4 linked regions of the Drosophila melanogaster genome follow. The protein of the gene in region 1 binds, or shares a complex with, the protein of each later gene. Each region holds a gene or a part of one and is shown in the gene's direction. Other genes may lie near its edges. The genes, in order: Nprl3, Nprl2, Iml1 and Wdr59.

Region 1 (7,844 bases):
ACATTTAGAAAGAATCTTACAATGCTCTTAGTTAAAAATACACACGAAAGAGCGAGGGGCGAAGGAGAATTTGGTTCGCTCATCGTCGGAAAGAAGGTGAACTACACTCACACACACGCACGTGTGCGGGACCAACCCTACCCCAACCCCAACAAATACTACAACAACAACAACAACAACATCCGCAAGTAAAATGCGCGCCATAAACAAATTACACACAAGCTCACACAATAAGCCCCATTCGCGCGCATTATCGGTTCGTGGGTGTGAGCAAGACAGCAGCAGATCCCCGTAAATCGTGCCTGCAAATGCACGTTGAAACTTATCGCGAGCACACAAACACATGAAAAGTGGCCACGGTGCTTTCGTACAGGGGCGGTTCCAAGGGGGTTCATTTGGGATATACATATGCGCCAAAATCTAATTCATTATATCAACAAAATATTATCGAAAGAATTAAGTTTTGTTTGCTGTTTTCTTTAAATTCCGAGAGCTTCCCCGCAAGCAGGATTTTTAATCCGCCACTGCTTTCGTGTCGTTTTTGTTGGGGATTTCTTTTTGTTGCTATGGCTTTTGTTGCATCGCTAGATGAAGTAGAACAAATACAAAGCTTATCGAGGCTCGCAGACGCACACATCTAAACGAGTGAGTCGAAAAGAGAAAGACTCCTATTGTGATCTACGGAATAAAAATGAACCTACAATTAAAAATAGTAATGCTGCTCATATTAGCTTGTTGACCAATGGACTACGTGACTGCACAATATCAGGGGCATTGCTTTGGCTGTACTTTCATTGAAACAGTCGCCAAGCGTAAAATGGGTTTTAGTTTTTGCATACCAGCTACAAAGTGTCAACTTTAATTGCGTCTTATTTTAATTCACTTGCTCGCTAGTTCTGGTCCGTCTAATTCGGTCAATTACTAATCAAGAATTGAGACTGCATGGGATTTTATTATGGATATTACACCATTAAAAAAATCTGTGGGGTTGGGAGGTGGTTTTAGGGGGTTGTGGCGGTTTGGTTTCGTTCCGCGACAACCTTTGAAATTATCGAATGGCTTAGCTTTCGCGAAATAATATTTTGACGATGGTCTTGTCTGCGCTGCGCAGAAAATAACGAAAGCCGAGCGCAGGCAAAAAGTTGTCTATCAACTTTTGCTTTCATTTTGTGGCGAAAATTCGCGCGTACAAAGCACAAGGCATAAATAACAATTGCAAAAATCACGTATGCGCAAAGAGCAGAACAGGAACATTCGAGCAATGCCTGTAAGCGAGAGCGAGACCACCATAGCTCTCCCCACACACACACTAACACTTAGCTATGTTAACTGCGGCCAACTTCACGGCGTACAGGCGTGTAAACGCTGGAGCACGCAATAAAAAGTTTGACGAAAACAGGGCGAAAGAAAATAAAATAAAAACTATATAGCTCTGTGCTAACATTCTGGATAATGGGAACAACATGGCGTCGTCGATATCGTTCAACTAATTCTCATCAACTTTAATTTCACTTTGCGGTCGATTTGTTGTTAAGTTTTTCCGACTAGCTGATGCGCATGTCAAAATTTTGGTAGAGACAACAAAAACACTGCACGGCATACACATTGCAATCCAAATGCGGAGGGGTGTGCCAAATCGAAATATGATTTTAATACTGATTTAGATAATCTCCTTAGAAACTCGAGCAAAACAAACTAAAAACAACTTGAAATTTAACAAAACAATTGCTTCGGGTTGGCAACTCTGTGCGAGGGGCATAATACGCACATCTACCTTCACGTTGCACAAAACGGAATCGAAAGCAAAACAAATGAACCCGCAAAGCTGTGCGAGCGAGCACGCTATACTGACGGTTAGTTGAAAAAAGAATATGCAATCAAATATGGCGACACACAGTATGCAAAAAAAAAAACCATACAAAATCGACGCATCAACAAATGAAATATTTATTTAACTGGCTCGACTCAAAATAAAATCTGAATTTCATATATATGTGATCCAATAGATATGTATAACCCATTCGACTGTATATTTTTCGATTCAAAATATTTCCGATTTGGGCGCGCACTCACATACAAACACACACACTAGTTTTACTCACCGTTTACTCTGTTATTTTGAATTTTCACTTCATTTTGCACAACTTAATTTAATTTAACGACAAGCTACGTGGTTTATTTTTTATTTCGAAACTTTATATTTCAATTTTATAAATACAAATTAAATTTGTATACACTTTAACACTGGTTCTTTTTTGTTCCGTTGCACATTGTTGATTTGCAGCATTTAAGTGATGGCGCGACGTTGTTTCGAACGTTTACTACCTGCACAAATTAAAATGTTTCTACTTTGATTAATCAATTTTATTATTATTAATACCGTATGGCACAAGAAGCAGAAGACAAAACGCGCAGGAAAACACATAAACTGGGATTGCTTAAGACGTGTGTAAGAGCGAGACGACCAGTCGGTTTGAGCAGACCATATAGCTAGTGTGACCGTTCTAGCCTATGGACAAGACATGCCAACTGACTATTATCGCCTATTTTATTTTGTTCGCCTGCCCTGCTTCTTCTTCTTGGTTTTTGTGTTGCGCTGTTTCCCTGTTTAGCCTATTACTACTGCGCCTGGCCATTCCGAAATGCTGTACGTACATATTTCGATTTCGCCTTTCCGCCTATTCGTTGATACCCACACAAACGTATATCTGTGCATGCCTTTCTACGTAGGTATGTGTAAAATCTATACACACGGATGTTGGCGCACATATACACAAAAAGTAAAATAGTTATGTTATTAACTATTTAACCACAAGCTATTTACATTTTAGGCACTTATTAATCCTATTTTCCAAAATACAAGGAATAGATACAGAAACGAAGACATAGTAGAAAAACAAACCTACAAGTAAATGACAATTAGTTGAAATTAACTTATTGGCCACCATACTGCCGAAGAGTGCGAAACTAATTCAGAAGCGAACCACTCAGCCAAGTAAACTATATTTTTTTGTAGAATTAGTTATACCTCTCCTACACTCACACAAATATTATATATATGTATATATAGACCGCGGCTAGTACACGTTTAGCGTCGTCTCGCTCCCACCTACGATCCGCACGTATTTTGCCTCTCACAATGTGTGTGTTTTCCTCTTTTCCAACACGCTAATAAGAAATCGTCATTTTTAAAAGTGCTTTTACAGCCAAACTAACATGTTTCACAGGGGAATTTCATAGTTCTGCGATTGCCGCGTTCGCATACTACGCTCCCAGTTATTTTCACAAATTTTTTGTTGACGTTTCGAGCACAATTTCCACACGTTTTGCTCACAACTTTCCGCTTCTAAAAAATTAGAGACTGACCAACCGAAGACGGTCACACTACAGCGGAGCGATAGATCGTTATCGCTCGACCAGGGATCCTATACTATTAGCCTTGCCGATATATATTTATTTATATAGTAAGACCGTTTTTCGTTTAGTATTTTTTAGTTTTTGAATATATTATCTAAGGTATCTATGGTAAATTTAAACGATTTAAAAAAATTCCATTGCGTTGCATTTATATTATTGTTTCGCCTGCAAAATGAAAACTGACATGACTACTATTTTAAATAAGTTTTTGGTATTTTATGCAAACTAAAAGAGAGCCACACTGCTGTAAATATATTTTATATTTTACATTTATTTACTTTGCTTCCATTTCTCAATGAAGTCAAATTGAGGTACTAATAAATAAATAAAGAGTTGTTGAGGTAGTTTCTGTAGCAAACTACGATTTATAAAGTATTTTTGAAAACATAGCCAACTATTTGTTGACCCTGACCCCAGTTGATAATGCAAATGTTCATATTTTAATTTACATAAAAGGGGAAGTGTCTGTGTGCCATGGAAACTAATGTGAATCCCCTGGCCGTAATCCTGGTTTACTTCGATAGCAAGGGGGATCGGTTACTGTACAGGTATCCGTACCAGACTCTCGGCCAAACGGAGGTGGCCAACGACGAGCAGCGGAAGTCCAGGTACTACCTATTAATTCAAAGGGCACTCAGCTTGACTATACCGATTTATTCAATCACAGAAAGCGCAATCCCTATGCCGTGGCCAATACGGACGATCTGCTGCAGACACCCACCCACTTGGGTGCTGCCAAGAGCCAAGGACAACTGCAGGGATTCGCAGATGAGGTCCTGTCCGCTCTGTTTGCTGTTAAACCACAGCTATGCAACCAAAAGTTTGAACTCAAACTGAACGACGTACGCTTTGTCAGTCATCCCACTCTGATACCGCAAAAGGAGCAGAGAAGTGGTCCAATGGCCAAGCAACAGATGCTCATCAACATTGTTTTTGCGCTGCATGCACAGGCCAGCTACTCGATTGTTAAGTGCTACCACGAACTGAGCAAGCGCCTTGGACTGGCGCTGAAGTTCGAGGAGCAGCGCAGTGGCTATCTCACCGAGCAGACGGCTCAAATGGCTCGCACACACGACGAGCAGCAGCAACAGCCGCTGGAACGCACACTGGAGCTGATTGCAGAGCGCTGCAGCTTGGCACAGGCCTTGCGCTCCATCTTCCATGATCTATGCACCACTGGACTGCTGAGTACCTCGCTGAATCACAACCTAACGTTGTGCTTCTGTCTGCCCGCTAAGGCACACCAGCTCCATAAGAAGGGCAGCATGGTGGATCCAGAGACCATAGATCGGTGCCTTCGTGCACTGAAGCCCTATCATGGCATGTTGCTGCTGGTCGACTTTGCCGAATTGTTGGACTGCGTTCCACCGACTGGGGCACGCATGCTATGGCAGCTAGTCGACGTCTACGACCCACTGATCAGTCTGCAGAGCATGTCCTCCAATGCAGACTTGAGTATCGAGCATGTTTATAAGCTCGTCTCGCATTTGGTCTACTGGGCTAAGGCAACTATTATTTATCCACTCTGCGAGACAAATGTCTATGTGATCGCGCCGGATGCACCATTGCACACCAAGTCCCACCTGGTGGAGAAGTTCTCGGCCCGTTTTGCCGGTATGTCGCTGTTCGAGGTGATCTCCGATTTTTCATTGCCCACTTCAATTGGACACTTAACCACGCCACTGCAGCAGCCAGCGCGACAGGGTATCCTCGCACAAATGGTGATTTGGATGCTGCAGCACCATTTGCTCATGCAGTTGCACACGTACGTTCAGTTTATGCCCAGCGAGGATGAATTCGGAGATTCGGCCTCCTGCAGCAACCATCTAAGGGATGCCATTAGCGATGAAGAAGGAGACCAAGAACCAGATGCGGACGAGTTGCATGGCTCCATGCTTAGCATGTCCAGTCATCCGTTGCCAGTGCCAGCGGTATTGGTGGGCGGACATCGTCGTGAGGCGTCCGAGGACCATTCATCACTGGCCTCGGACAACATCGCCGTGCAGCCATCATCCAGCCACAAGTCCAATTTCAGCATCACCGCCTCGATGAGCACGGACAATTGCGACAGCCTCGATTCCATGGAGGATGAGCAGAAGCTGAAGGAGCTGCTACAGGTTTTCAGCGATGCGGATCGAGCCGCCATCCGTCGAATTCCCGCCTCTGCCAACGTGGATGATCTATCTCTGCTTGTGAAGCTGTATCAGATGGGTTACTTTAAGAGCGAGCATCATCTGGAGGAGATCATGTACTTCGAGAACCTGCGACGTTCGCAACTGCTGCAATTGCTTGATAAATTCAGGGATGTGCTTATCATTTACGAAACCGAAGATCCTGCAATTGCATCCATGTACAATACCAAGTAGAGTTTGGGACGAATTTGCATTCCTAGATTTTAATGTTGAATGTTTTTGTTTAGTTTTTGAATATAATCTATAAAATAGGTATGCATCTAATTTTGTAAAGTTTGCGAAGCAAATCAATTTACGCTTGTAGACTACATATTTTGTTATTTATTTGTACAAGCAAGTTCTTAAGTTCAATTCAATTATTGTCAAACTATGTTTTTCCGTGATTTCATACAAATTCAAAAAATTACTCATATTCAAAACAGCGTTACATTTTAAGCTTCGCGCCCATTGTACAGCTTTAAGGTATATCGATAAGTGGGGAATATTCTGATGCTCTAAGAGCCAGATTAAAATAAAATATTTAAAAAATACGAAAAACCCATTTTTAACTTAAAAAAACAACTTTAAATCATAAATCAAAGCTGATAAATTAATAAGATGCGAAGCACAGCTGATTATTCGGTATTTTTTTGTTGGTATATTCCAGTGATTGGTATTTTAATAGTTGCATTTTGTTGATATTGTATATTTTTGATCCTGCCTACGAAACTCTGGAGCTCGGCCACGATGGACATTTCGCAAATGTGCCGCGTTTGCAGGGACGAATCCGACTGCCTGTTGGATATATATACAGAGCCATATGCCTCCTCCAATCGGGTCCAGGAGCAGGAGCCGGTCTTGGCCACAATGCTGAGGGAATGCAGCGGATGCAGCGTGCATAAGGAGGACGGAATGCCGCAGTTCATCTGCGTGGAGTGTGCGGAGGCCGTAAGAAATGCCTATCGGCTAAGACGGCAATGCCGAAAGAGCCATCAGTACTTTGAACAGCTGCGTCTGATGATGAAGGAGCTGGACGATATAGAGTATTGCCTGAATATAGGGGATAACATAGAACCACAGATGCCGGTCTCGGTAATGGAAGCTGGTAAAACGCCGGAGACATCCGAACCTCTTTTAGTTGAGCTTGTGCAGGTTAAGTACATGCCTCCAGAGCCGAAGCCAATATCTTCTCCTCTTCCAGACAACAATGAGCATAAGCTCGCGCAAAGTTATTCTCCAGCAAAGACGCCACACAATAAGTCCAAGAGGAGGGCGAGATCCTACTCGGACAATGACTCATGGAGCCCGGATAGTGAGCTTGAACACGAAGATGATGATAAAATCTGGAACGCCTCAAAACGGGGCAAACCGAAAAGGGTTCCCGGACCATATCGGTGCAAGCTCTGCACACAGTCGTTCACCCAAAAACAAAACCTAGAGATTCACATGCGCATACATACTGGCGAGCGACCCTACAAGTGCTCCCTATGTCCGCGATCCTTTGCCCAGAAGGGCAACCTGCAGAGCCACACACGTTGTCACACCGGCGAGCGTCCCTTCGGTTGTCCGAACTGCCCCAAGCGCTTCCGGCAAGTTGGGCAACTGCAAGTCCACACCCGGACTCATACTGGCGAACAGCCGTTCAAATGTTCCAAATGTCAGCAAAGCTTCAAGCAACTAAACGGCCTACAAAAACACATGTCAGCACACACGCGAGGGAAGCGACGGACGAGCAGCCAAGAAACAAAAAGAAATAAGTTTAAATAGTTAAGATTTGTTAAAGGTATTTTCATATATTGAATGTCCATATAATAATTTCTTGTTTGAAATCGACAAAGCTAGTAATCGCAACCAAAGTGAGAAAGCTGCTTAAAAACTGTTGTGAATCGATCCGATTATCATTTCTTTATTATCTTATTGTCAATATGAGAACATGAAATTGTTTTTAAAACTACACTCCATATGTACTTTCATTATTAGTCGCTAACTTGTTTCTACTTTAAAAATATATCGAACTTATTTTTAAAACGATGATACAAGATGATTAATTACTATTTTAGTTGGCTACATTTTGCCAAGCGTTGCCAAGGACTATTTAAGAGCTTTTCGTCTGGTCCTTGTGGATCCTTTGGTGTGGGTGCGCCTGTGCATGGTCAACTGGGCCTTGCCGGTGAAACTTTTTTGGCAGTCGGTGCATTTGAAGGGCCGCCTCTTATCCACCTCGTTGCGAGTCTCCTTCTTCGGCTGCTTATCGTT
Region 2 (7,050 bases), on another chromosome or scaffold:
CTTCCAGGTGCACCATTGCGATGGCGGCTTCCCTGCGGATGCAGTCGACCAGATGGGTGGGATCCAGAGTCGCAAAGGTGACCAACTGGGTGTGTGGCATATTTCTAAGGATCTCCATATCCATCTCAAACTCCTCGCCGGGCTGCATGCTATTCACATTAAAGATAAACACAATGGTCAACCGCTTCTGTTGCGGATGCTCAGTGTGGTTGGCGCTCTTTTCGCCCTCACTTATCATTTCGTTAATGATAGGCACGAAGTGTGCATCCTTCGGCGTCATGTTATCAATCAAGATCATATTCTGTCCGCAATATGTCAGGCCGGATAGCATGCTCTTCACTCGGCCCAAAGAAGAACTGCCGGTCCAGGAGAGTGTATTCACGTTCTCGGGCCAGGGAAACGTTTCGCGCAAGATTCGCGCAGTGTGGCTCTTGCCTACGCCAGAGGTGCCCACCAAGACGATTGCCTGTTTGGAAGGAGATCCGGGATATTAATACACAAAATATTGGCAATTCATTAAGTTTACTAAAGATCATCTAGTTGTTTGTTGCAATAACCAGGATAAATCTGGATGAGCATATACAACAACTGGTAGTACAATCAATAGTAAACTATACTAAGTGATATGGAAAATCCGCTTAGGATGCACATTAAATCTACTGTTTCCCCGCTAGTCACCTCATTGGTGGTGTTGTCCAGTGCCAGTTCTAGCTGGTTCAATGCAAGATCCTGGTTGAGTACCTGGTGGCGGGCGTGCAGGACCATGTCGCCCAGCCGTCGGGAGGGATTGCAGTAGTTGTCCTGGTTGTGGACGATCGAGTGGTACTGGTTTTTGTAGCTTTCCAGGAATCCGCTGACCGTGGACAACTTGTCGGTGAACTGCAATAACATGCCAATTCCTGCGGCGAGGGCGAGAATGAGGTATGCCCAATTCCGCCATGGAGCCTTCTTCTGGGTACAATGGGCAATGTCCAAATGGTGTTTGCACACCTTTTTATTCAACCGCCTGTTGGACTGCAGGCGGCGAATCTCAGTCCTCCTCTTTCTGGCGAATGGCCGGCTTATCGGGGCGACCACATTTTCATTCTTTTCGTTCTGTATTAGAGTATTGTATGTGACCATTTTATTAAGCCTTGTTTCGTTAGCAACTGGATATTTTTGGCTGACTTGTGCTCGAATACAATTATCAGCCTACTGTGATACAATTTGGTAAAAACTTTGGTTGCATGTTACAAACCGGCAAATTATTCTAAATGCCGCTTCCTTCATGCAGTATTTCACGAGTGTTGTTTTGATAGGCAAACATATTTTGGTATTTTACTATCGAAACATTCTTCTGTTCTGCCAATAAATACAATTTTAATAAGTATTTTGTAATACAATACAAGGTATAAATTAAAATAGTTTCAATCAATGTAAAATTAATGAAAATACGTAAATTTTAATTTTAGCTTATTGATAGTCGGAATTGTACTACGATTTAAATAAAGGTATATTTTAGGTAGGTATTTATTTAACATGTGTCAATGTTAGTATATTTTACGAGCCTAAACAAAAACGGTCAGTTTGCAGTAGCCGACTTCTTAAAACTGTCATTATTTTAATATTTCAATAACCCGGAGCAAATCCCAGGCAGTTAATCCGATCCGCAATGACGAACGAAGATGTGGGCACCAACAGCGTCGCCGACCGCCTACAGTTGGGTCCGCGCGAAGGCGTCACCTATCCGATCCAGATGAAGTACTGTGGCCACTGCACGATGCCCATTGAGGTGAGTTCGTCTTCAAACCTGGGAAAAATCCATATTAGGGATCATATATGGCCCATATATTTACATATATATATATCCACTATACGCAGTACTGCGAGTACTATCCGGAGTACGAGAAGTGCAAGGAGTGGCTGGAGCTCCACATGCCCGATGACTTCGAGCGACTAAAGATTGAGGAGGAGGCTGCCGCCGCTGACGGGACGGATGACGACAAGAAGCGCCAGAAACGCGGTGGCAAGGGACTGTTGCGCGTCAAGAAGAAAGAGGACGTGCCCAAGCGTATCTGCGTCTCGCGGGCGGCACGTGGCAAAAAGAAGTCAGTGACCGTGGTCACAGGATTGAGCACTTTTGGTAGGTTCTGTTCGCACATTATGAGTATAGAGTAGGAAATGGAGGGGGATGCGGGCCCACTGGATGCTATGAGTAGCCATTACCATACCATGTAACTTAGATATATTAGATATACTTATGAGCTTTATTGTTAACTAAGCATAATACATTCCCTGTCTGTTCCAGATATTGATCTCAAGGTGGCCGCCAAGTTCTTTGGCACGAAATTTGCCTGCGGCTCCTCGGTTACCGGAGACGACGAGATCGTCATTCAGGGTGACGTCAAGGATGACTTGTTCGATGTCATACCCGAAAAATGGGCCGAGATCGATGAGGACGTCATCGAGGATTTGGGCGATCAGAAGCGAACATAAATAATTTACCTTTTTTTTTAGCTTATTTTATACGCTCCATCAACATAAATATATGAAACGTTAAACGTAATAAGCGGATGGGTTATTTTGGCGGCTGCTACCCGAGGTTTTCTCCATCTGGTGTCGGATTGGACTTGGTTTCCATTGAAGTGGGTGCATCCGTTGCAGGCGCTGTAGTGGCTTCATTTGCTGGAGTAGCATTATTTTCTGAAGACGATGTTTCCACTGGGCTTGCTTCTTCTGCTGGAGTAGTAGTAGTGGCTTCACTTGAAGGAGTAGCGACATTCGCAGGAGTAACTCCATCACCTGGCGTGGTTTTGTCCGCTGGAGCTATTTGTTCCGCTGGATTGGATTTTGCCTGGGCATTACGCTTTACGCCAGATTGCTTGCCGGCCTTCGCAGTGGACTCCGCAGGCTTTTCCGCCGGTGTTTCCTTAGCAGCGCCTTTGGTTTCTCCACCATGGAAGTGTTTGTAGCTCAGCTGAATGATTTTCTCGTTCTCCTCATCGGTTAGTGGAGCTTTATTGTCGTCGATGAGCTGGGGAGGTTATTATATACTTAATTAGCCTTTCTGGCATATGATAGACTAATCCTTACCAGTTGCGTGTGTAGTGCACTTGTAGGCGGATCGTTGATCATTTGCAGGATCTCTTGGGACTTTAGACGATAAGAAGACAGGTCTTTAACGTAATTCATAATGTTCTCACGAGTTTGTGTCTTGCAGGGCGACTCCTCCAGATACTGCAGTGCCTGTGGAACAAAGTGTTTGGTTAATTTATCATATATTAGTTAAATATTTAAAAAAATCGACACCTCATAGGTAACCGTGGCCAAGTTGCGCATGCCGAACTTCTTTTTGGTGCTTTTGATCTTCTGTAGAATCTGCATTACCTCCAGATTGGTGAGGTACGAGAACGTGGGATTGATCCTGAAATGGAAGCGTTATCATCTGCATATTATTCGCTGTTTAATGGAAAAACTAAATAAAAACAAAACAATCCTCACGTTTCCATTTCTGCAAATTTTAGTATGACCGCAGAGCGAGCGCTAAAATATACCCCACCTACGCATATTACAGTTGGCCTTTATATATTAACATAACAGATAATTTATACATGAATAAAACGATCTACTCAACAAATTAAATGGTGTTGAATTAATTTGTTGTTAAAATTTGTTATAATTGGTTTTTGCATTGGAGTATATTTGTTGCAGTAAGGCTATGGTCACACTAAAGCATCGCTTACCATAACATTACAGCGAATTCCGCCACTGTTATTGGATTGTGCCACCTGCTGTTAAAGCTTTGGAGTCCACTCCGCGGAAGGAAGCAGAGGATGTGGATGCGGTGATACTGGAATCTTTTGAACGGCATGCATTCCCATACGAATGAGACGGCTGCGACGTCGACAACGGCGGGCGCGGTCACGAATGGAGCAGGCGGATCAGGAGCTGGAGCAGCGGGTGCCCATGGCAGCACGGAGGGCAAGATCCGGTGCATCTTCCTCAGCGAGTTTCATGCGACGGCGGGCTGCAAGATAAGCTGCCAGGTGAGCTGGTTCCCAGGAGCGCTGATAACGCAGTATAGTTCGAACAAATCCACGTCCCTCAGGTTCCTGATAACTACATATCCAAGGATGTGTTCGATGCTATCAATGTTTACATCATACCCAAGCAGCATCTTCAACGCTGCATTCTCACCGTCAACGCAATGGATGTAAAGATAGTCGGCTATCCAGTGGGCATCCAGGATCAGCAGAAGTACGCACGGAATGCCTTCCTGTTTAACCTATGCTTTGTCTGCGACTCGCGGGCCAGGAGCGTCCAGTACGAGCCGGTCGTCAAGAAGCTGTCCGAGTACCTCATAATGATGGAGGAGGAGTCGTGCTTCCTGTCTCGCGAAGATGACAAGCGCCGCCTACAGAACATCTTTGAGACTGTACTACGCGACCTTAACGAGCGGAAGGTGGCCACCATTGTTGAGGGCGATAACACTATATACCTGAAGATCGTCATGCACAAGCCGGACCCGCCGCCGGTCAAGGATCACATGGTGCCCCTGCTGCTGGCGAACCTGCGCGATGCTCCGCTGGACAACTGGGACCTTACCACACAACAGGTGCGGACTATTCCTGATTCTATAGTTATACAATCTTCACGATGTAAATAATTTAGTAATCCCATTGGACTGTTATGGTTTCCTCTAGATCCTGCCTTATATAAATGGAATCAACCATGTTGCCCGCATTGCCGCCGAAGCGGACGTGGAAACGGACCTGGTCAAGTCGTGCATACAGAATCTGGTCTACTACGGGGTCGTTCAGCTGCTGCCAATCCTGAAGTACAGCAACGTGTACATGACGCAGAACCTAAAGCATCTCATCCAGAGCGCATCACTGAGCGGCGCATGCCGGAAATACGTGGCCTTGCGTCCGGACAAGACGCTGCCCAGTGTTCAGCGCATCTTTCAGTTCTACGCCTCGATGACTCACGGCGTTACTCTGCGAGCGATCTGCCAGAGATTGTGCCCCCAGCACCACAACATCGATGAGCGTCGCATGGTGATCTTCGGGCTGCAGCACCGATTCATTCGCTGCATCCACAAGTACCCGGTGTTTACGGGCTCAGTGCCTTCCGGGCGGCAGAAGATGTACACCGGGCTGATCAGCTTTGACGAGATCTGCTGCAAGACGGGCCTCTCGCCCTGCACCATCGAGCGGGATATCGAGAAGGACACGAATGTGACTGTGATCTGGAAGTGACGACCGGAAGGACTTCTCCGGCCAGTTGGGTTTGTTGTAGTTTGTAAGCGAACCGATTGTTATGTTTCCAAATGCTTTTTTATATACGCGCATATACACATTAAAGTTTAAGAATTCACTGGTTTGGCTTGGGCTGGTTCCGGAATCGCTTTGCCAGCTGGACAGCAATCAGGAATCCTTTGCGCTAGAGATAATGCAATCCTGAACCGCCTGGGCCACACAGGCGTCCTCCGAGGCCATGCCTTAAATAGGAAATGTATGAAATTTTTAATGATACAACTTTGAAACAGACAGAGATAGTCATATAGTTACACAAACTTAATAAAAACGCACCCATGGATTGAAAGATGCTGATTTCTAGCTCCTTGGGATAGTTTCCATCCAGAATGATCTGACCCACTTCAGCGGTGATCGGCGCAGGTAATCCCACCAATTCAGCCTCGGCATTGGCATAGCAATCCACGTAGACCTTGGCCTGCTGGTAAATCTTTGGAGCCACCTCCGAAAAGTGAACTTCGCCGGCTCCCACAGCTGAAATCGAAAGTTATAAAGGGTAGGTCATCATCATCCATCCAGCATTCCATTATAACAGCAGACCTACCGTTAATATGAACAGCCCGTTTGGATTTCAGATCTGCCAACTGGATAAGCGGCTCCTTGGAGTACGTGGCGATGCAGATGATATCGGCATCCTGGCAAGCTTCGTGAGGACTTGGACATACAGTAATCTGGGTTCCGCTCTCGGTGTTCAATTTCTGCCGCAGTTGGTCCGCTAAACCCAGTGCCTTTGCCTGCGTGCGATTGTAAAGATTAAGCTGCCTCACCCGGAAGTTCGCGCAGAAAGCGGCAGCATGGAGTTGTCCTTGAACTCCACAGCCCACGATGGCCACGTTGATATTCCTTTCCTGCTCCGCCTGCGCCCCAAAGCGCCTGAAGTACAGATACTTGGTGGCCACCAGTGAAGCGGATACAGTGCGCCAGGTGGTCAAGTCCGTGCCCTCCATTATGGCCGACAGTTGACCGGTTTGATTGTCGAACAGCAGCACATGGGCATGGATGCTGGGCAGCGGAGGATCCCGTCGGGGATTCCCACTGAACGAGGTCACCAACTTGCAGGCCAGTGTTGAGTGGGTGTGCTCCACTTCCCCAGGATCCCTTGACGATTCCAGCCTGTAGTTGCCCACATAGGCGGGCATGGTGAGCAGAACCTTGCCAGGTTCCTTGCCGCATGGAATAAAAGTCCTCTTCGGTTGAAAGGCAAAGGATGTGGAGGGCGTTTCCGGATTCTGCTTAACTATAGCTACAAGTGCAGATTCCACTGCCTTATTGACCAGCGGCCAGGTGAGAACCTGACGCACAGCATCCGCATTGTAGTAAGCTGGCGTAGAGCTGCTCATATTGGCAATGAAATGGTTTTAAAACAAAGTAATTCTTGCAAATTAAAATATTCTAATTATAATTGGAATGCAACTTAGTATCTTACTAACGATCAAAGAATGCACTGACCAGGGATGCCAGGTTTTAGGAATATTGTTGTGGAAATAACTATATTAAGCAATGTTTTAATTTCTGATAATATATATTAGAAATATATTAAGCTTAAATACTGTGACTGTACTCTATCAATTTTGAAAATTGGACTCATTGTACATTTTTGTCTTACAAAAGCTTATTTAGTTTGAAATCTTGGCAGCACTGTTGACTTAAACTTAAAAATTAACTAAAAAATACCGTTACTATCATTTAAACACCTATCGAAATCAACAGTCGATAACTTTGATGATGCAAAGCGTTGAAATTTTAAATTGAAAGA
Region 3 (7,814 bases), about 12 Mb from region 1:
CGTGTTTGTTTGGACCTACCAACAACAAAGACCAGCTGGGCAAACAAATATCGCGGAGTAGAGCAGACCTGAGTTTTTTTTTGGCAAAAACAAACTACTTTGGTCGCCAGTATGACCAGGCTGTGTAAGTAGGAGTAAACCAAAAGAAAATGACCGTTATAATAATTCAACTAAAAGCATAAGGGGGTTTCTTTAAAATACCAGCAGAAAAATACTTGCGAAAAACAATTGCATCGAAAAATATGTTTGTTTTTTAAAACTTGAGCAATAAGTAAAGCTGCATATTTTACCACCCTTTTTGTTATATATACCGTTGGTGTATATAAACGAGTTGTACTGGTTCCGAAAATAACACTACTACAATAGGGTGTATATGGTTTCGGAACCCGTTCAGGAGCGGAGAGTTGGGGTGGGGAACCAGCACCGAACCAGTTCTGAACCGGATCGCGACCTGACGAGAAAAAGTGTATCACTTCATCACATAACATTTCGCATTTAATTGGAACGTAAATTGTGTGCCCCGTCGAGACAGGAGTTTTGCACCGGAAAAAACGAGTGCGGAGGAGTGGCGTGTAGGAGTGAACGCCAAGGAGGAGCACTCCGACGTCGTAACAAACGAATAAAACGAATCCAAATCCGACACCCCCCCACATGCGATTGATTTGATTGATTGAGAGCACGAGACCACGAGTTCTGGGCGATGCACTCGTCACTCAGCTGGACCTCGCGTGCGATCTCTCGCGCCCTGCGCAGCAGCTTCTCCACGCTCCTGGAAACGGCCACGGGTGGCGGAAGTGGGGCAGCAGCCAAGGGGGCCACCAAGTCGGGAGCGACACCAGGATCCTCGGGCGCCCCACGACCCCGTTTCGTGTCGGTGGTGTGCGGCTTCGCCAAGGACAACCTGCGACACAAGTACAAGCCGGGAAAGTACGGCGAGGACTCATGGTTCAAGGCCTCCACCGCCAGTGCCGATGTCATGGGCGTGGCCGACGGCGTGGGCGGCTGGCGAAGCTATGGCATCGATCCCGGAGAGTTTTCATCGTTCCTGATGCGCACCTGTGAGCGGTTGGTGCAGTGCAGCCACTTTAATCCCCAACGACCAGTCAACCTGCTGGCCTACAGCTACTGCGAGCTGATGGAGCAGAAGAAGCCCATACTGGGCAGCAGCACCGCCTGCGTCCTGATCCTCAACCGTGAGACGAGCACCGTGCACACGGCCAACATCGGCGACAGCGGCTTCGTTGTGGTGCGCGAAGGCCAGGTGGTTCACAAGTCCGAGGAGCAGCAGCACTATTTTAACACACCCTTCCAACTGTCATTGCCGCCGCCGGGACATGGGCCCAATGTCCTCAGCGACAGCCCTGAGTCGGCGGACACGATGAGCTTTCCGGTGCGGGATGGCGACGTGATTCTCATTGCAACCGACGGAGTGTTCGACAACGTGCCCGAGGATCTAATGCTGCAGGTGCTTAGCGAGGTGGAGGGCGAACGCGATCCCGTCAAGCTCCAGATGACGGCCAACAGCCTGGCGCTGATGGCGCGCACCCTGTCCCTCAACAGCGAGTTCCTCTCGCCCTTCGCCCTCAGCGCCAGGAGGAATAACATTCAGGCGCGTGGCGGCAAGCCGGACGACATCACCGTTGTCCTGGCCACCGTGGCGATGTGAGAGTGGTGCTCCAGCCCATCCTCCCTAGTGATTAACGTTTACTTGTAGTCCGTACGTGTTTAGTTAGCTTTAGGAGCCAGTTTCGTGGTTCTGTCTACCGTTTAAGCTGCATGTTGAGATTGAGATTGTGATTGACGAGGACGACGACCCTTTGACCCTTTGCATTGTTAGTTACATATATACGAGCAAACTCATTTTCGAACCGACGAATCGACTTCGACGCATCCTGGTGAGCGACCCGCGCCTCGATTGTATACATAACCCTCGCTATAAGTAGAGAATGCGAATTATCTGCCCGATCTGGCGATCTCTGTCGTCAGTGGCGTTCTAATCACCACAAACAATAAACAAACAACCGATTGCGAAACAATCCCCGACGCCGAGGATCATAAATACGAGTCCGGGGTCCGGATGATGGAAGCTGGATGGATGGTGGACCCGGAATGGAGCGAGTCGAGTGCAGCTATCTGACTGAGGACGGAGGATTACCCATTTACGCGGGCGAACGAACTGTCTTTAAACAATTTTTGTCGAAATGTACTCACTGATATTTGCGACCCAATAAAATTTATTCAATGAAAAACAACGAATGCAGCTTGTAGTCACTTCGTGATAAATTCATTAAGCAAATAAATATGTGTAAACAATAAAGCTGTACGGAAAACTTAAATAGAACGTTCTAATTGCTTAGATTAACTCATGGTCAGAAAGATGGAAATTGATAGATTCAGGAGCGGACAAACTGATTAGCGTGGGGGTGTTTATTTTTAATGCGATGTAACAATCATTTTCCTCCAGAAGTATAGGTGAAATTACATTTTTAATTAAAAAGGTCTTATCTGAAAGAAATCGATTGCGCTTCTGTGACGCAGACTGACTACATATATAAGCATAAAGCTGCAAAAAATATATGCATTCTACAGATTATTATTATATTCGAATAGGAAAAATACCCAGAACTATTTTTAAAAATTTTATTCGAAAATATTGCGTTATTTCGGTGCAACCTTAATTATTTGTATCTAGAATAAAACGCGCTATGGTGGTGCTATTTTTTACGCAACTGTATATGTGTTAAATCGATAATATAAAAAAACATTTATTTTAATTAGTAAAGTTTTTCGCCAGTTTGTAAAATATGTTAACTTTTGGCTACACTTGTGGGTAAATTAAAAGGCTTCATAGATGCCAAAAAAATTTCAGTCAATAGCAACGCACCAAATCCCCGCTGAATTGGTAGGAGTCTAGTGACGAAAGCATCGGTTGCCCCTAACGTTCGGTAATTCAAATTTTGTGACGAATAATACAAATCACACAATAACATACATAACAGAAAAGCTTACGTAACTGAAATCATTATTTAATTTAATATATATGAAAATAATTAAGCTGACAGGGAATGCAGATTAAGTTAGTTTTTCAATAAAAGATAAAAGTGTTGAGCTACCTTGAAAAATATAAATAAACTGCGTGATTTAATTAATTACAATAACAATTAAAGGTAAACATTAAATTCGGTATATTTGTACAGGAAAATACCAAATAATCCATGCCTGCGGTCACTCTGCAGATAAGGAATCAAAACAAAAGACGAAAAAATAGAATTTTTATTTTACTAGCATGCAAATGGGCAAATGTTGGAATTGAGTAAATAATTGTCCGTTGGTTTTGCAACCACTAAGTCAACATGAAGCTGTACAAGCTGAACACGCATACGCGTGGCTGCAACAAATCCTACGGTAAGCGAAAGTGGATATTGCGCAAACATTACGTTACACGGAAATTTCGGCACAGATGCGGACTTGGTGATGAATCTAAAGGATCATCCCAACGCCAATGTGGGCGATGTGGTAGAAATTTACGCCCCCGACGAGGAGAACGGCACCCACCTGCTGCTCCAAATCACCGAGTTCAATGGCAGCTGTGGCCGGGATGTGATAAGCATAGAATCGGGCATCGCCAATGCCTTCAAAATGCGTCCGTACTCCAATGTGGTGATGCGCATAGTTAAGCCGGCGGATGTGGCCCTGGACTCGATAGAGATTACCTTCAAGGACCAGTACATGGGTCGCTCGGAAATGTGGCGCCTGAAGACCTACCTGGTAAGGAATCACGCAGTTTTCAGACCAGGATATACTTTTAACGTACCACTTCTCCCTCAGACGGACACCTGTGTGTATGTGAACAAGAAGATCGACTACAACGACATGCAGATTCGGTGCCAGGTGTACGAGATGTGGTCGCAAGGCGAGCGCGTGGCCAGCGGTGTCATCACGGAGGACACCAAGATTGTCTTCCGCAGCAGCACTTCGATGGTGTACCTCTTCCTGCAGATGTCCTCCGAGATGTGGGACTTTGACATCCACGGAGACCTGTACTTCGAAAAGGCAGTCAATGGGTTTCTCACTGAGCTCTTTCAAAAGTGGCGAAAATTGAGCTGTAACCACGAGGTGACCATCGTGCTGTTCTCCCGCACCTTCTACGCAGCCAAGAGCCTGGACGAGTTTCCCGAGCATATGCGCGACTGCCTGCAGCAGGACTACAAGGGTCGCTTCTACGAGGACTTTTACCGCGTGGCCATCCAGAATGAGCGCTGTGATGATTGGTGTACCGTTTTGGGCCAGCTCCGAAAGCTATTCACGTCCTACCAGGTCACTTAACCATGTTTTAATTTATTCTATTATAAAAACTTACTACGCCGTTTACAGGCCACTGTGCTGCGCTACCACGAACGGGAGAACATGAAGATTCCACCGGCCACCAATTCTTCAGCCACTCAGGGTAACTTTTTGGAGGTGCTAAACATATCGCTGAACACTTTCGAAAAGCATTACTTGGATAGAACGTTCGACCGCACCGGACAACTATCCGTGGTTATAACCCCAGGAGTGGGTGTCTTTTCCGTGGATCGAGAGCTAACCAATATCACGAAGCAGCGCATTATCGACAATGGCGTGGGTAGCGACCTGGTCTGTGTGGGCGAGCAGCCACTGCATGCGGTTCCGCTTCTCAAATTCCACAACAAAGACACCACGTTGACCTCCGCCGATGACTACTCTCTGCCCCACTGGATAAACTTGAGCTTTTACTCCACTAACAAGAAGATTGTGTACTCCAGTTTCATACCACGGATCAAGCTGCCTCTGTTTGGATCCCAGTTGACGCTCCACGATGGCGTTGGCGACGGGGAGGGCGAGGAGAACGAGCGTCACTTCCTGAGCTGCAATCAGTCGGAGTATAAGCACAACTCGCTCTTTGATTACGATGCGTATGATGAACAGATCTTCCAGCCGCTCCCCGCTCAGAGTACTTGGTAGTATTGTGCTACAAAATTACCTTTTTAGCTTTGTTGATCAAGGTTTTATTTTCTTAGCTCCCTGCAGCGTGTAGTGCGGGCTAAGAAGACATCGGTGCCCAGTTTAGAGACCTATGCCTATAGGAACAACGATTGGGAGAACCTCACGCCGACTCAAATCCCGGCTATGCGGCGCAAGATGTCCGATCCCGATATTCATCACGGCACCTCTGCAATGCTGGCTGCCTTGGTAAGGGAAATCTTAATACTGACTTTTTACCTGACTTTTGAACTGTTTTTATGTGACTTTAGCAACCGGATACAACCAACCTCTCCGAGTCACTGGCCTCGGAGAAGAACTCCCGCAGGACGATCGTTAGCATTGCGCCCATAGTGCGTCCGGGTCGCGCTCTGATCAATCCCTTTGATCCCTCGCAAGTGACAATAAAGCTGACCTCCAATCGCCGCCGCTGGACGCACATATTCCCGAAGGGCCCAACCGGTGTACTCATACAGCAGCATCATTATCAAGCGGTGCCCGCCAAACCCACGCAGGCTGGTCAGCAGAGACCATTGCAGCAGACGCAGAGCAACAACAACAACGACCAGGAGGATTACGGGTGCGAAAATGGAGAGCAGTACGACCGAGTGTCCAGCCATTCGCTGCTCAACAAGTCAGACTCCTCGCAGAGCTTTGTGATGGGTGATGAGCCCATTGATTGTGAGTAGCAGTAACTAAAGTTAAACCTCCTCGACTAGCATTGCTTTGTATACGCAGTCTTTAAGCGGCGTCAAAACTCGCCGATGAACCCCCAGCCCGCCAATGTGCCCAACCTGACGGCCACCCAGGCGAAGTCTTACCTCTGGGGAGCCACTGGGGAGCAAGAGTGGACACCAGCAATTACCACGGGTAAGTGTTAGGCAAACAGTTTTCAGGTTTTGTTTTAGAGATCGTATCGTGGGGCAAATAATTCGAGATGCACTTGAAGTACTCGGCGTACATGGAAATCCCAGTCAGTTTGGCATGGTTCACGAGCGAAAATGTATCTTCAGTTTTTGTTCGCGCTGTTTTTGTCGCGCTACCAAATCGTGGCCACCGAAAACTTTGACCGCGCTTTCGAGCTGGCTCTGTTTCTGGACAGGATCGGCCGCGTGCATCGCTTGCATGCCATCACTATAGTGAACAGCCTGGGATCTGTTGATCCCAGCTATCTGGACGATCTGCATCGCGGCCTGATGTGCAACAGCAGCAATCACTTCTACATGCTGCCGCAGATGACGGCCACGGACAAGGATTCCTCGCACGTCCACTTCAGCAGCCTGCAGGATGAGGAGACCATATATTTGGTCTTCGCCAGGGATTCCAAGGATGCGGTGATTTACTTGCAGGCCGAAAGAGCCAGAGGAAGGCGTTACACGAGGACTATGTTCCTGCTAAGAAAGCAGGAGTCGCAAAAGGACATTAAATACTTCTTTGAACTCCTGTGGAAACTGCAGTTCCGGAGCGCTTTGGTAGTGGTGGCCGCCAGAAACTTCTACCAAATGGATCCATATCCCACTGTTAGGGTGATACGCATGCGAAGATTATCCTCCTATGATCCGCATCATGTTTTTCCGCCTGCAAATCGAAAAAATTTCAGAGGCTACAGGATGCGATTGCCCGTACAGCAGGATGTGCCCAATACTTTTTGGTACAAGAATCGCAGGACGAAGGCCTGGGAACTGGCCGGATTGGGCGGGATCTTGATCAATCAACTGATGATGCACCTGAACGTGACCATGGATTTGTTTAGATTTGAAGTAAATGGCTCTTCATTGCTGAATATGGCTGCGCTCACGGATCTGATTGTAAAGGGCAAGGTGGAGCTGAGTCCGCACTTGTACGACACACTGCAATCAAACACCAGTGTGGACTACTCATATCCCACGCAGGTGGCACCGCGCTGCTTCATGATCCCATTGGACAATGAAATTTCGAGGAGCCTCTATGTGTTCCTGCCATTTAGTTTAACCATGTGGCTGTGCTTGCTGTTTGTTCTGCTCGTAGTGCACTTCGTGTATGTGCGCCGCCTGATTCCAGACGGACATTTTTGGGCCATACTAGGAGTGCCTGGTGCTGGTCAAGTCAGATATGGCAACCGCAAGCCGGTCAGGCGCTTTAGTACCTTTCTGATCCTCTTCGGAATATTCATTCTTGGGCAAACGTACAGCACCAAACTAACTTCATCTCTGACCGTGACTCTGATCCGAAGACCAGACAACAGCTTGGAGGAGCTATTCCTGCTGCCGTATCGCATTCTAGTGCTGCCCACGGATGTGTACGCCATCGTTGATTCCCTGGGTCATGCCGAGCAGTTTAGCACAAAGTTTAGCTGCACGGATGCCGAGAACTTCAGCCAGAAGAGAATCTCCATGCATCCGGAGTATATTTACCCCATCAGTACAATTCGTTGGCGTTTCTTCGATATGCAGCAGCGCTTTCTGAGAAAGAAACGCTTCTATTTCTCCAAGATTTGCCACGGCTCCTTTCCCTATCAGTACCAGCTCAGGGTAGACTCACATCTCAAGGATGCCCTCCATCGATTCCTGCTGCATGTGCAGCAAGCCGGGCTGCATGATCTTTGGCTGGATACGTGCTATCGCAAGGCCCATCGCATGGGCTATCTCAAGGATTTCTCCACACTGGCGGAGCTGGAGGAGAAACTGAGGCTCCGCCCACTGGCGCTCAATCTGCTGGTGCCCGCGTTCAGTCTGTTTCTGTGCGGAATGTTGGGCAGCGGAATCGCCTTCCTGGTGGAGATCCGTCACAGCTTCGGGTGCAGACAAAAGCCACCGTCCATTAACCGCAACCCC
Region 4 (8,861 bases), on another chromosome or scaffold:
TTAAGGACTTTCGGCTGAGTGGCTACTCAGAGAGCTTCCTTTGTCTCGGGCAGTAATTTTATGGTTTGTTGCCTTAATTAATGGCTGACAGCATAAAAAACTGCTAACCACTATAGAGAATACAATGAACCTAGCAGAAGTTTGTGGCAAACATAGAAAGGTCAAGGGGGTGATGGGGGGAAGTGAATTACAAAAGGCAATGACCCGAATTAATTAAGGAAATTATTGAAAAGGATTATAGGGAGTTTTTTAAGTAATGATAGTATGCTCGTACAATATTGAATTCCTTTGGTAAATCTCCTCTTTGGATTCTATGAATAATATCCTAATCAAATATAAATCGAACCTTTCAAGATCTTTCTAAAACTTTTCAAACACCTTTCCTTAGTTTTTTCTGTTAGACATACAAATCAATCTAATCGTTTCCTTGTTGCTATTCAACAGAAGCAAATATCTGCTGGATCCGAAGTTTATGACCAAGAGGGACCTACAGCAGTACTATCGCTACTACAACATGAACAAGAACCGTGGACAATTCAAGAAGGTTGTGATTGTGATCTTCGCCCTCTGCGTGTTTTCCTACCTATGTGTGGACTACAATCTGAGGACGAAACTACTTCGTTTCCGTGATGGATTCGATTTTATGGCCCGCATCGAGGACCACTATGGTGGAAATGTGACAACGGCCTATTTCGTTGACACGACGGGCTGCCGGATGCCACACTTTGAGGTCAGCGACGACACCATTGCCCAGTTCATTTTCAAGCCACGTCCGTACAGCTGCAACAGAGCTCTGATCCGGACGAGCGACACAATTCCCGGACAGCTGCATCTCAATCTGGAGGCCAGTGAGCTGCTCGCATACTACAACATCAGTGACCTGTCCTCCGTTAATTGCAACTATACGGAGGTGAAGCGCAAAACCGATTCTAGTAACACCCACAGTCCGGCAGTGAGTTTTAAGCTGGACAAAGTTATGAAACTGCCTCTCAGCTCGGAGTTCATTTGCATGTGGTGCTATGATTCACTGGACAAACTCTTCTACAAGGACTGTCATTTTTTTGCAGTCGATAAGCCAAGGATTAGGCCCCCACTTAAGACTGGAACCGATAGGGTGAGCTTCAACAAGAGCAAGGAGGAGCAGGAACGGCTATCCGTAATGATACTCGGCATGGATAGCCTGTCGCATCTAAATTTCCTGCGCCAGATGCGCCGCACAGCGAACTACGTCCGTAAGCATCTGTCCCACGTGGAATTTTGGGGCTACAACAAGGTGGGCGACAATACGTTTCCCAATCTCGTGCCCCTGCTAAGTGGCCTGGATGATCAGGAACTGAATCTGGCCTGCACGCCAAAGACATTGCGATCCTATGATAGGTGCTCATTCATTTGGAAACGCTACCAGCAACTGGGTTATCGCTCCATTTTCGCCGAGGATGTGGCAATGCTCTCGGCATTCAATTACAATCAAAATGGGTTCCGAAAGCAGCCAACGGATTATTATCTGCGACCCATGATTATGGAAATGGAAAAGACTGTGGCCTTCAAGAAGGACCTCAACATGCACTTGTGCATGGGCAGCCGGAGGACGGCGGATGTGCTGCTCGAGTATATGAAGAAATTGGTGCCACGAATGAGCAGGGATCTTTACTTTTCATTTTTTTGGACGGTGGCCCTAACCCATGACTATTTTAATTTCCCCTCACTACTGGATGAGGCCATGTTGCAACAGTTGATGCAGCTGCAAGATTCCGGATTGCTCAATCGCACGGTGGTAATGTTGCTATCCGATCACGGACTGAGATGGGGTTCCTTTCGTCGTACCTACCAGGGCATGATGGAGGAGCGCCAGCCCCTAATGATGCTTTTGTATCCGCCATGGATGACCGAGCGTTATCCGGAGGCAATTGCCAATCTTAGGTTAAATGCCCGCCGGCTAACCACACCATTTGATGTGCACGCGACAATGTTGCAGCTGCTAAATCTTCACAATCTGGAGGCAGATCAGTTGCAACGCAGATCAACAGAGATGGACGAGCCGGATAGCACGCTGCCCAGAGGCATTAGCCTATTCCTGCCCATCCCGGCTGCTCGGACCTGCGAGCAGGCAGGGATTGCCGCCCACTGGTGCACCTGCCATCAGCGCCAGGAGCTGCAGACAAACGATCCACGTGTCCAGCGGGCGGCGCGCTATCTGGTACGCTTGATCAATAACCGACTGAAGGATAGCTCACAGTGCAGAACCCTATACCTGAACTCCATACTCCAGGCTCTGATTGCAGCGCCGCACTCGAAGATTGTGAAGAACATTTCCACGGACTACGCAGTGGACATCACCCTGCGACTGCAGACGAAGCCCGGGCTGGGTGTGTTTGAGTCCACGGTGCGGATGACGGGCTATACGACCGTACTAACGGGCACCATTAGTCGTCTGAATCTGTACGGAAGCCAGAGCTACTGTCTCAACGATCCGGCGCTAAAAATGTTCTGCTATTGCCACAGATAAGGCAATGGCAATGTAACTGGGAGCTTTCGGGGATGGGGAGGATGTGTTTGACGTCAAAGACTTGAAACCCATTAACGTAGCCTTAGCCATAAAACCTAGTTTATTTCTATGAAATAGCCAATGTTTGTATAAAAATACTTATCCAATTTTAGCCTTTGCCGTAAGGAGTTCCCAGTCTTAGGCACCTATGTAGTCACGGTAGTTGAGCGGAATTTGTTTATTTCCCACTAACTTAGAGGACAATAAACTGAATGAACTAATAATCGTAATAACCGCAGAATTACTTTGTGTATGTAAAATAAATGATAAGCTATTACTGACTAGGGAGGGAAGTGGCGAACATATAAATAAATAATAGTATCCAAAATATGTAGCACTTAATGTTGTAGACCATAATTGAGTTGTTATATACATATATAATGCACTTTTTGTTTAGTATCTCATGATTTATAGCCTTATGCTGAGTTAATAAATGAATAATAGGATGAACTTTTTATAAATGAGTCAATTGGGAATATCCCTTTCTAGTTACAAATTTATTTAGATGCTAAATTATATTTAGCCACGTACTTTAATAATTTTCATAACATTTATGAACCAATGCACATGTATATTTTTGGTGATTGACAATTTATAAAATGTAATAAATCTATAAAAAAAATCGAACGTTTTTATTTAACAAGACCATATATATAAAATTATAAATTTTGCTCTGAGCTCGTTTACCTGTTTTATATCATAAATTCAAATCCCGATAGCTATAACCACAATTTTATCGATACTATCGAAAAAACAACATTTTCAGCTATAGTTGTGCTGTCGTTATTCCAGCTAGATTTATGGGTGTTACAAACTTTTGCGACAAAATATTAGGTACAATTTTTTCATATAATGTTCTAGTTTAATTTTGTAATTTTTTTAATATATTATCAAAAACTATAGCAACAGCATTATTGAAAAATAGCCAGCTTAACGAGGTCCTGGAAATTCATTTGTCGGAAAAAATGCTTAATTGCCAACACAGACGCCTGTTGTTATTGTCTATCGTTCTTATCAGTTCAGTTTCTTCGTTTAATTTTTGTTTGTTGCAAAAATGGTTTAAATTCGCAGTCTTTTGCTTTTTGAGCACTTATTAGAGTAGGACAATATGCCGCCCACGGAGACACTGCGTCCGGGAGAACGCGGAACAGCCGGTGGACCGGGAGCAGGAGCACCCGAACAAACGTACATCGTCAGGCAGAGCAACAAATACTATGAACACCGAGATTCCCAGGCCACGGCCATGTCGGTTGATTACTCGGGTCAGTGGGTGCTCCTCGCGGGCCGTGGTCACCTGGCTTTGCAGCGTTTGGGACAGGACGATGGGTCTCTGCGACGACATGAACGGCAATCGAAGTACGAGGTGTCCGTAGCAGAGTTTGCCATATGTCCCAGTCGCAAAGAGTACTGCGCCATAGCGGTAAATACATAAAGTTATCTACGTATAGGCGGCGTTTATCCCAGTTTGACCTTTGAATTTCAGACTAGCCAGCACATAGACATCGTTCGCTGGGGCACTGCGGAACCACACTACGAGATGTCCTTGCGTGGGCATACTCGAACAGTGACCGACATTGACTGGCACGGCAAGGATCCGAATCTGCTGGTCAGCTGCTCAATAGACACATTTTCTCATATTTGGGACTTAAGGGAGCCCAGGAAACCAGCCCTGTCCTTGAATGCCGTGTGCATGTGTAAGTTTCTACAAAATAATTTCAACTTTTTTATATTATATTTAAAATTCTTTCAGCTGGTGCTACACAAGTGGGATTCAACCGCGTTTCGGGCAACCTTTTGGCTGCTGCCCATGATGGAGATTTACGCATCTGGGATATTCGCAAGGGTAGTTGCCCGACGCACTATATCACAGCACATTTAAATAGAGTGCATGGCATCAATTGGAGCCACAAAAGGGAGACCTGCTTGGCAACCGCCAGTCAGGATGGAACGGTCAAGTACTTTGATGTATGTAATCCTCGCAGGGCCGAGAAGATCATTACAACCATGTCGCCCGTTTGGAGAGCGAGATACACGGTAATTTATATTGGTTTATCAATATTGATTGCTATTCTAAATACATCTTGTTCCATACAGCCTATTGGCAACGGTCTGGTTAGCATTGTGGTGCCCCATTTGGGACGCGGAGAGAATAGTTTGCTGCTCTGGAGCAACAGCAAGCAAACGGACCCTATTTGTTCCTTCGTGGGGCACACCGATGTCATTCTTGACTTTGCCTGGCGTCCAAATCGTGAAAGTTCCAATGAAATAGTAAGTATTTTAAAGATACCACAATGTTCTTACTTATGCATTGAGCTTTAATTAGGAACTGGTCACTTGGTCCAGGGATCGCACGCTGCGGGTGTGGAAGATCGATGATAATATGCTAAAGCTTTGCGAACCGTCTGCGGAAGAAATAGAATCCCGTTTCGAGCCCGATCTCAGTGAGTTAAGAGTGCCTACTCCTCCAGAATTCCTGCATCCACGATCAATTTTGGTTGCCGCTTCGTTGCCCATATCCACGGGTGACGGTGCTTGTAATACCTTGCCCATGGCTCGCTCCCCGAGCTTTGGAGGTGGCTACTATCGCAGGGAAGAGCCCCACATAGCCAGATCACTAACAGATCAACCCACGTGTTCGCTGCACCACGAATTCTCGCTGCTCAACACAAACATGCCTCATGTGGAGGTAGACACACTAGATGCCATAAAGCGGTACGCCTGCTTCAAGATTTGCGCCGGTGGACACACGGTTATTTTACAAGTGACTTTCACGACATCGTATCCAAGTCCTAGTGCTCCGCCGGACTTTCAGCTTTGCCAGGGAACCACTCTGTCCAGTGAAGTTAGTGGAGTTCTGCTAAAAGTGCTCCGTTGCAATGCATTGCAACGGGTCAAGAAATCCCGCACGTGCCTGGAACAATGCCTACGTGCTCTAGTGGCGGCTATGAAGAAAAAGGTGGCCGCTGTAGGCGGAGCGGATCGTAGCCAACTGCTCCTGCAATCCCCTCGGCTGGAAGGAGCTTTGTCGAGCACCCTGCACGATGCCTGCATTCCATATCCGCGGACGTCAGGGGTCCATTTCAATGCCATTGGTATGCTGACCACTTTCGCCCAACCAGTGAACAACAAAAGGCTGACCCTGCGGCAACACACCGCATTGACTCCACGGACTTTTTCATCGATTAATGGTAGTGGATTGCTAGGCAATGTGATGGCCACCGCCCAGAGGGAAGCTAACGCCTCCTTTTACCTCCAGGAGAGGATGATTTCGGGAAAACCGGGCAAGCAGCGAGCCATCCGACAGATGAATGGAAGTCCGGTGGTTCACGTATACGACACAAGTAGCTTACTCCACATTAGTCGGAGAATGGCTCGGGAGTTCTCCCTCGATAAGTGCAACATAGCAGAAACGTGTCGTAAAAATGGTGAGATCTGTCGCCAGCATGGGCGCTTGGACTTGGTGCCCGTGTGGCTATTGGCGGAACTGATAGCCACACCCCAAATTCCACATGAAACACTCAACGATCTGCTGTTCTACAAAGATCCCTTCAAGAAATCTCTGCTGGAATCACTAATAATGCATTATGCTATCTCCGGTGACATACAGACTGCTGTGCTGCTGGCTTGTTTGTTTGACAAGTGCCCCACGGGTGGCGGTGCCATTATGGAGAAGACAGTTCGACTTCCGCCGCAGCTTAACTCGCAAATTTCACCGTATCACACGGTCCTGCCGCTTGACGTCAAGTCATCTTCTTCATCGAACACTTGGCAGCAACTTAAGCAACTACGCAGCAACTCTTGGTCCGACTCCCTGGATTTGGAGATTAAGCAAATCCAGTCTGATGCATACGCTTGCTCATTGATTAGACGGACTAAGATGCCACTGTTTGATCAATTTAAGCGCGCCTATGCCGAAATTTTATTTGGCTGGCAGTTGCTTTCGAAGCGGGCTTTGATCCTCAAGCACACGCAGAATACACCACCTCCAGTCCAGGGTGTGGAATTCGTTACCGAGTGCAGGAAGTGTGCCAAGCCCAAACGGACGCCCAAATGCGAGCCCTGCAAGCGACCCGTACTCTTCTGCGTCCTCTGCCGTTTGCCTGTGAAAGGAGCAGCCAATGCGTGTCTGGCTTGTGGCCATGGCGGTCACATTGATCACATGATGCAGTGGTTTGAGGTTGGTATCTATTTGAGTTTGATTCGACTGGTTTCTTTTTCACGAACCAAACGATGTATGGATTTGGATTTATGGATTTATGGATATAAATATATTCATGTTTGCTATTTTCTTGTTTAACTTTCAGAAACACAATGTCTGTGCTACGTGTGGCTGCAAGTGCTTGGAGCGCACCTCAGAGCTGCTAGCCCTACTCAGCTGATTCAGACCTTGAGTGATGTGCATTCCTTTCAAAAATAATCTTACTTAACTTTCTTTCGTCTGTGTGGATATCAAAATAGTTAGGTGTTTTTTAGTCATTAGGCCAACAATTTTTGTACGATTTGCATACCATTGAGAAATATATGACCACTTACTAGCCAAGCTAAGGGTAAAAGCTTTATGCAACTATACACTTAACCAAAATCATATGGTTACGATAATTCAAAAAGAACTGTTTCTAGATTTTTTCAAGTACATACATTTATTCTTTTTTATTATCGACTTTTGCTTTCTGTTTTTTTTTTTTTTTTTTAGCTTAAATTCTACGATTTACTTGTAGTTTTTGCATTTGCAATCTAATAATTTTTTTGTTTTGTCCGTCATAATAAAGTTTGCTTTAGTTTTGAAAATAATTTTTAAATAAGTTTCTACAGCTCCTATTCTTGTTTTTGTGTGTTTTCTTTTGTTCATTAAGCGTCATAAAGATAAAAAGGAAAATAAAAGGAACGCAAAAATAAAATAATAAAAAAATATATTGCAATTTAGTAGGCGAATCATTATAAAGATAATACAATTTTGATATAGCGACATAAACATTAGATATACGGCCTTACTATAAACAAATCACGCACAAAACAAATAAACAATAAAATGAAAGGCATAGATTCAATTTCAACTTTTTAAGGGATGAACTTAGCTGAGAGCTTTTTAGCATACTAACTTCTTTTTGGACTTAACTACAAGCGTGTATTTATAAATGTGTTTGTGGTCATAGATTAACTATCTTGGATGGGGATCGGATGGGTAATCTATCAAAACCAGCCACTGGCCAGGTTATAGTTCTCTTGATATCATTTTAGCTGATCGCGGTACGTTATGATTGCCTTCATCAGCAGACGGACGTTGCTGAACTGCGAATTCTTGGGGCTGTTCTTAATGAACTGCTGACAATTGCGATACAGCTCGGTGAGCACTTTAGGAGCGTGCTCGCGGGTAATGGGATCTGCCATATTGATGGCCAACAGTGCCTCGTTGAGATATCTACAAATGAAAAAGGTACATCATCAATGTAATTCTTTGTAATGTTTTGTTACTTGTTTAGTTCTCCTAGCTCACCTCTGCTTAAGCTCATTGTGATTGGTCATGTCAGCGGATATTTGCTGAATGAGCGACAGTAGAACCTTTTGCTCCAGTCTGCATCCCTCTGGTGCGAATGCCTGGTTGCTGTCCGTGTGTCGGAGAGTGAACTCCACTAGGCCCAAGTCGTTGGCCAATAGAGCCTGATGGAAGGCCTTGTTGATTTGTCCAGCCATCAAAAGCTGCTTAATGCTGTCCCTGAGGTCGTAAGGTGGTGCAGGCGTAGCTGCCTGCGAACGCATTGCCACGTTCTGGGCTTCCATGTGCTTGCGTAGCTCTGCTCTGATCGTTTCCTGTACCTGACGCGCCAGCAAAATCTCTAAGCTCTTCACTTCTCTTTGTGTCTCGAGCATGGCGTCCGTGAGTTCAGTGCGGTGCTTGTGCAAGCTGCTCTCTACCAATTGCTTAAGCATGGACAACTTGTTGTTTATCTCCTCCGTATTGCCACTCCCGGCTTGGGGCTGTGGCATGTGCTGCAGGTAGGTGTTAAACTGGACCATAACTGGAATTCAAAAGAAGGAGCTTTATGTATCCATTATGATTGTAATGATTATATACTAACAGTCTTTTATGCCCACGCTGAAAGCGTCATGCAGTTGTTTAAACATGTTCTGCGAGGACTTCTCATAAGCTGGAATCAAGGTGCTGCTCATAGATTCAATGAAGGCGGTTTGTAGGCTGGTTTGAACACCAATCAACACGGACTTGCCAAAAGTATCCAGAAATTGCTAAGTAATGAAAAAAAAACGCTTAATTATAAGCATTTATAGATGGACTTGCAGATTACGTACCTTGCTCTTG

What was found.
Region 2: Nprl3 (region 1) and Nprl2 share a complex: the UniProt entries of both Drosophila melanogaster proteins name them as parts of the GATOR complex.
Region 3: Nprl3 (region 1) and Iml1 share a complex: the UniProt entries of both Drosophila melanogaster proteins name them as parts of the GATOR complex.
Region 4: Nprl3 (region 1) and Wdr59 share a complex: the UniProt entries of both Drosophila melanogaster proteins name them as parts of the GATOR complex.

The regions. Positions count from the first base shown.
Region 1 is NT_037436.4:13,997,674-14,005,517, reverse strand, and holds Nprl3 (nitrogen permease regulator-like 3), read left to right. Parts: upstream 1-3,637; 5' UTR 3,638-3,728; exon of another isoform or gene 3,729-3,873; 5' UTR 3,874-3,891; coding exon 3,892-4,025; intron 4,026-4,084; coding exon 4,085-5,783; 3' UTR 5,784-6,138; downstream 6,139-7,844. Other genes in the region: CG17359 (uncharacterized protein), read left to right, coding at 6,336-7,355; CG17361 (uncharacterized protein), read right to left, coding at 7,680-7,844. UniProt on the Drosophila melanogaster protein: An essential component of the GATOR subcomplex GATOR1 which functions as an inhibitor of the amino acid-sensing branch of the TORC1 signaling pathway.
Region 2 is NC_004354.4:16,881,039-16,888,088, reverse strand, and holds Nprl2 (nitrogen permease regulator-like 2), read left to right. Parts: upstream 1-3,723; 5' UTR 3,724-3,848; coding exon 3,849-4,025; intron 4,026-4,087; coding exon 4,088-4,594; intron 4,595-4,682; coding exon 4,683-5,237; 3' UTR 5,238-5,405; coding exon of another isoform or gene 5,406-5,479; 3' UTR 5,480-5,570; downstream 5,571-7,050. Other genes in the region: CG4880 (uncharacterized protein), read right to left, coding at 1-466, 679-1,122; DENR (density regulated protein), read left to right, coding at 1,652-1,771, 1,861-2,122, 2,288-2,475; Polr3I (RNA polymerase III subunit I), read right to left, coding at 2,573-3,013, 3,073-3,225, 3,289-3,403, 3,481-3,488; CG4872 (uncharacterized protein), read right to left, coding at 5,406-5,479, 5,571-5,768, 5,839-6,634. UniProt on the Drosophila melanogaster protein: An essential component of the GATOR subcomplex GATOR1 which functions as an inhibitor of the amino acid-sensing branch of the TORC1 signaling pathway.
Region 3 is NT_037436.4:1,529,448-1,537,261, reverse strand, and holds the start of Iml1 (increased minichromosome loss 1), read left to right. Parts: upstream 1-3,227; 5' UTR 3,228-3,353; coding exon 3,354-3,405; intron 3,406-3,460; coding exon 3,461-3,768; intron 3,769-3,828; coding exon 3,829-4,317; intron 4,318-4,374; coding exon 4,375-4,979; intron 4,980-5,039; coding exon 5,040-5,211; intron 5,212-5,273; coding exon 5,274-5,682; intron 5,683-5,739; coding exon 5,740-5,871; intron 5,872-6,002; coding exon of another isoform or gene 6,003-7,814. Other genes in the region: CG12091 (uncharacterized protein), read left to right, coding at 701-1,666; Ir62a (ionotropic receptor 62a), read left to right, coding at 6,003-7,814. UniProt on the Drosophila melanogaster protein: An essential component of the GATOR subcomplex GATOR1 which functions as an inhibitor of the amino acid-sensing branch of the TORC1 signaling pathway.
Region 4 is NT_033779.5:11,087,914-11,096,774, forward strand, and holds Wdr59 (WD repeat domain 59), read left to right. Parts: upstream 1-3,530; 5' UTR 3,531-3,653; coding exon 3,654-3,965; intron 3,966-4,028; coding exon 4,029-4,239; intron 4,240-4,295; coding exon 4,296-4,579; intron 4,580-4,639; coding exon 4,640-4,813; intron 4,814-4,868; coding exon 4,869-6,722; intron 6,723-6,849; coding exon 6,850-6,924; 3' UTR 6,925-7,183; downstream 7,184-8,861. Other genes in the region: CG16854 (uncharacterized protein), read left to right, coding at 445-2,506; Ge-1, read right to left, coding at 7,775-7,964, 8,040-8,562, 8,623-8,788, 8,852-8,861. UniProt on the Drosophila melanogaster protein: A component of the GATOR complex, which functions as a regulator of the amino acid-sensing branch of the mTORC1 signaling pathway.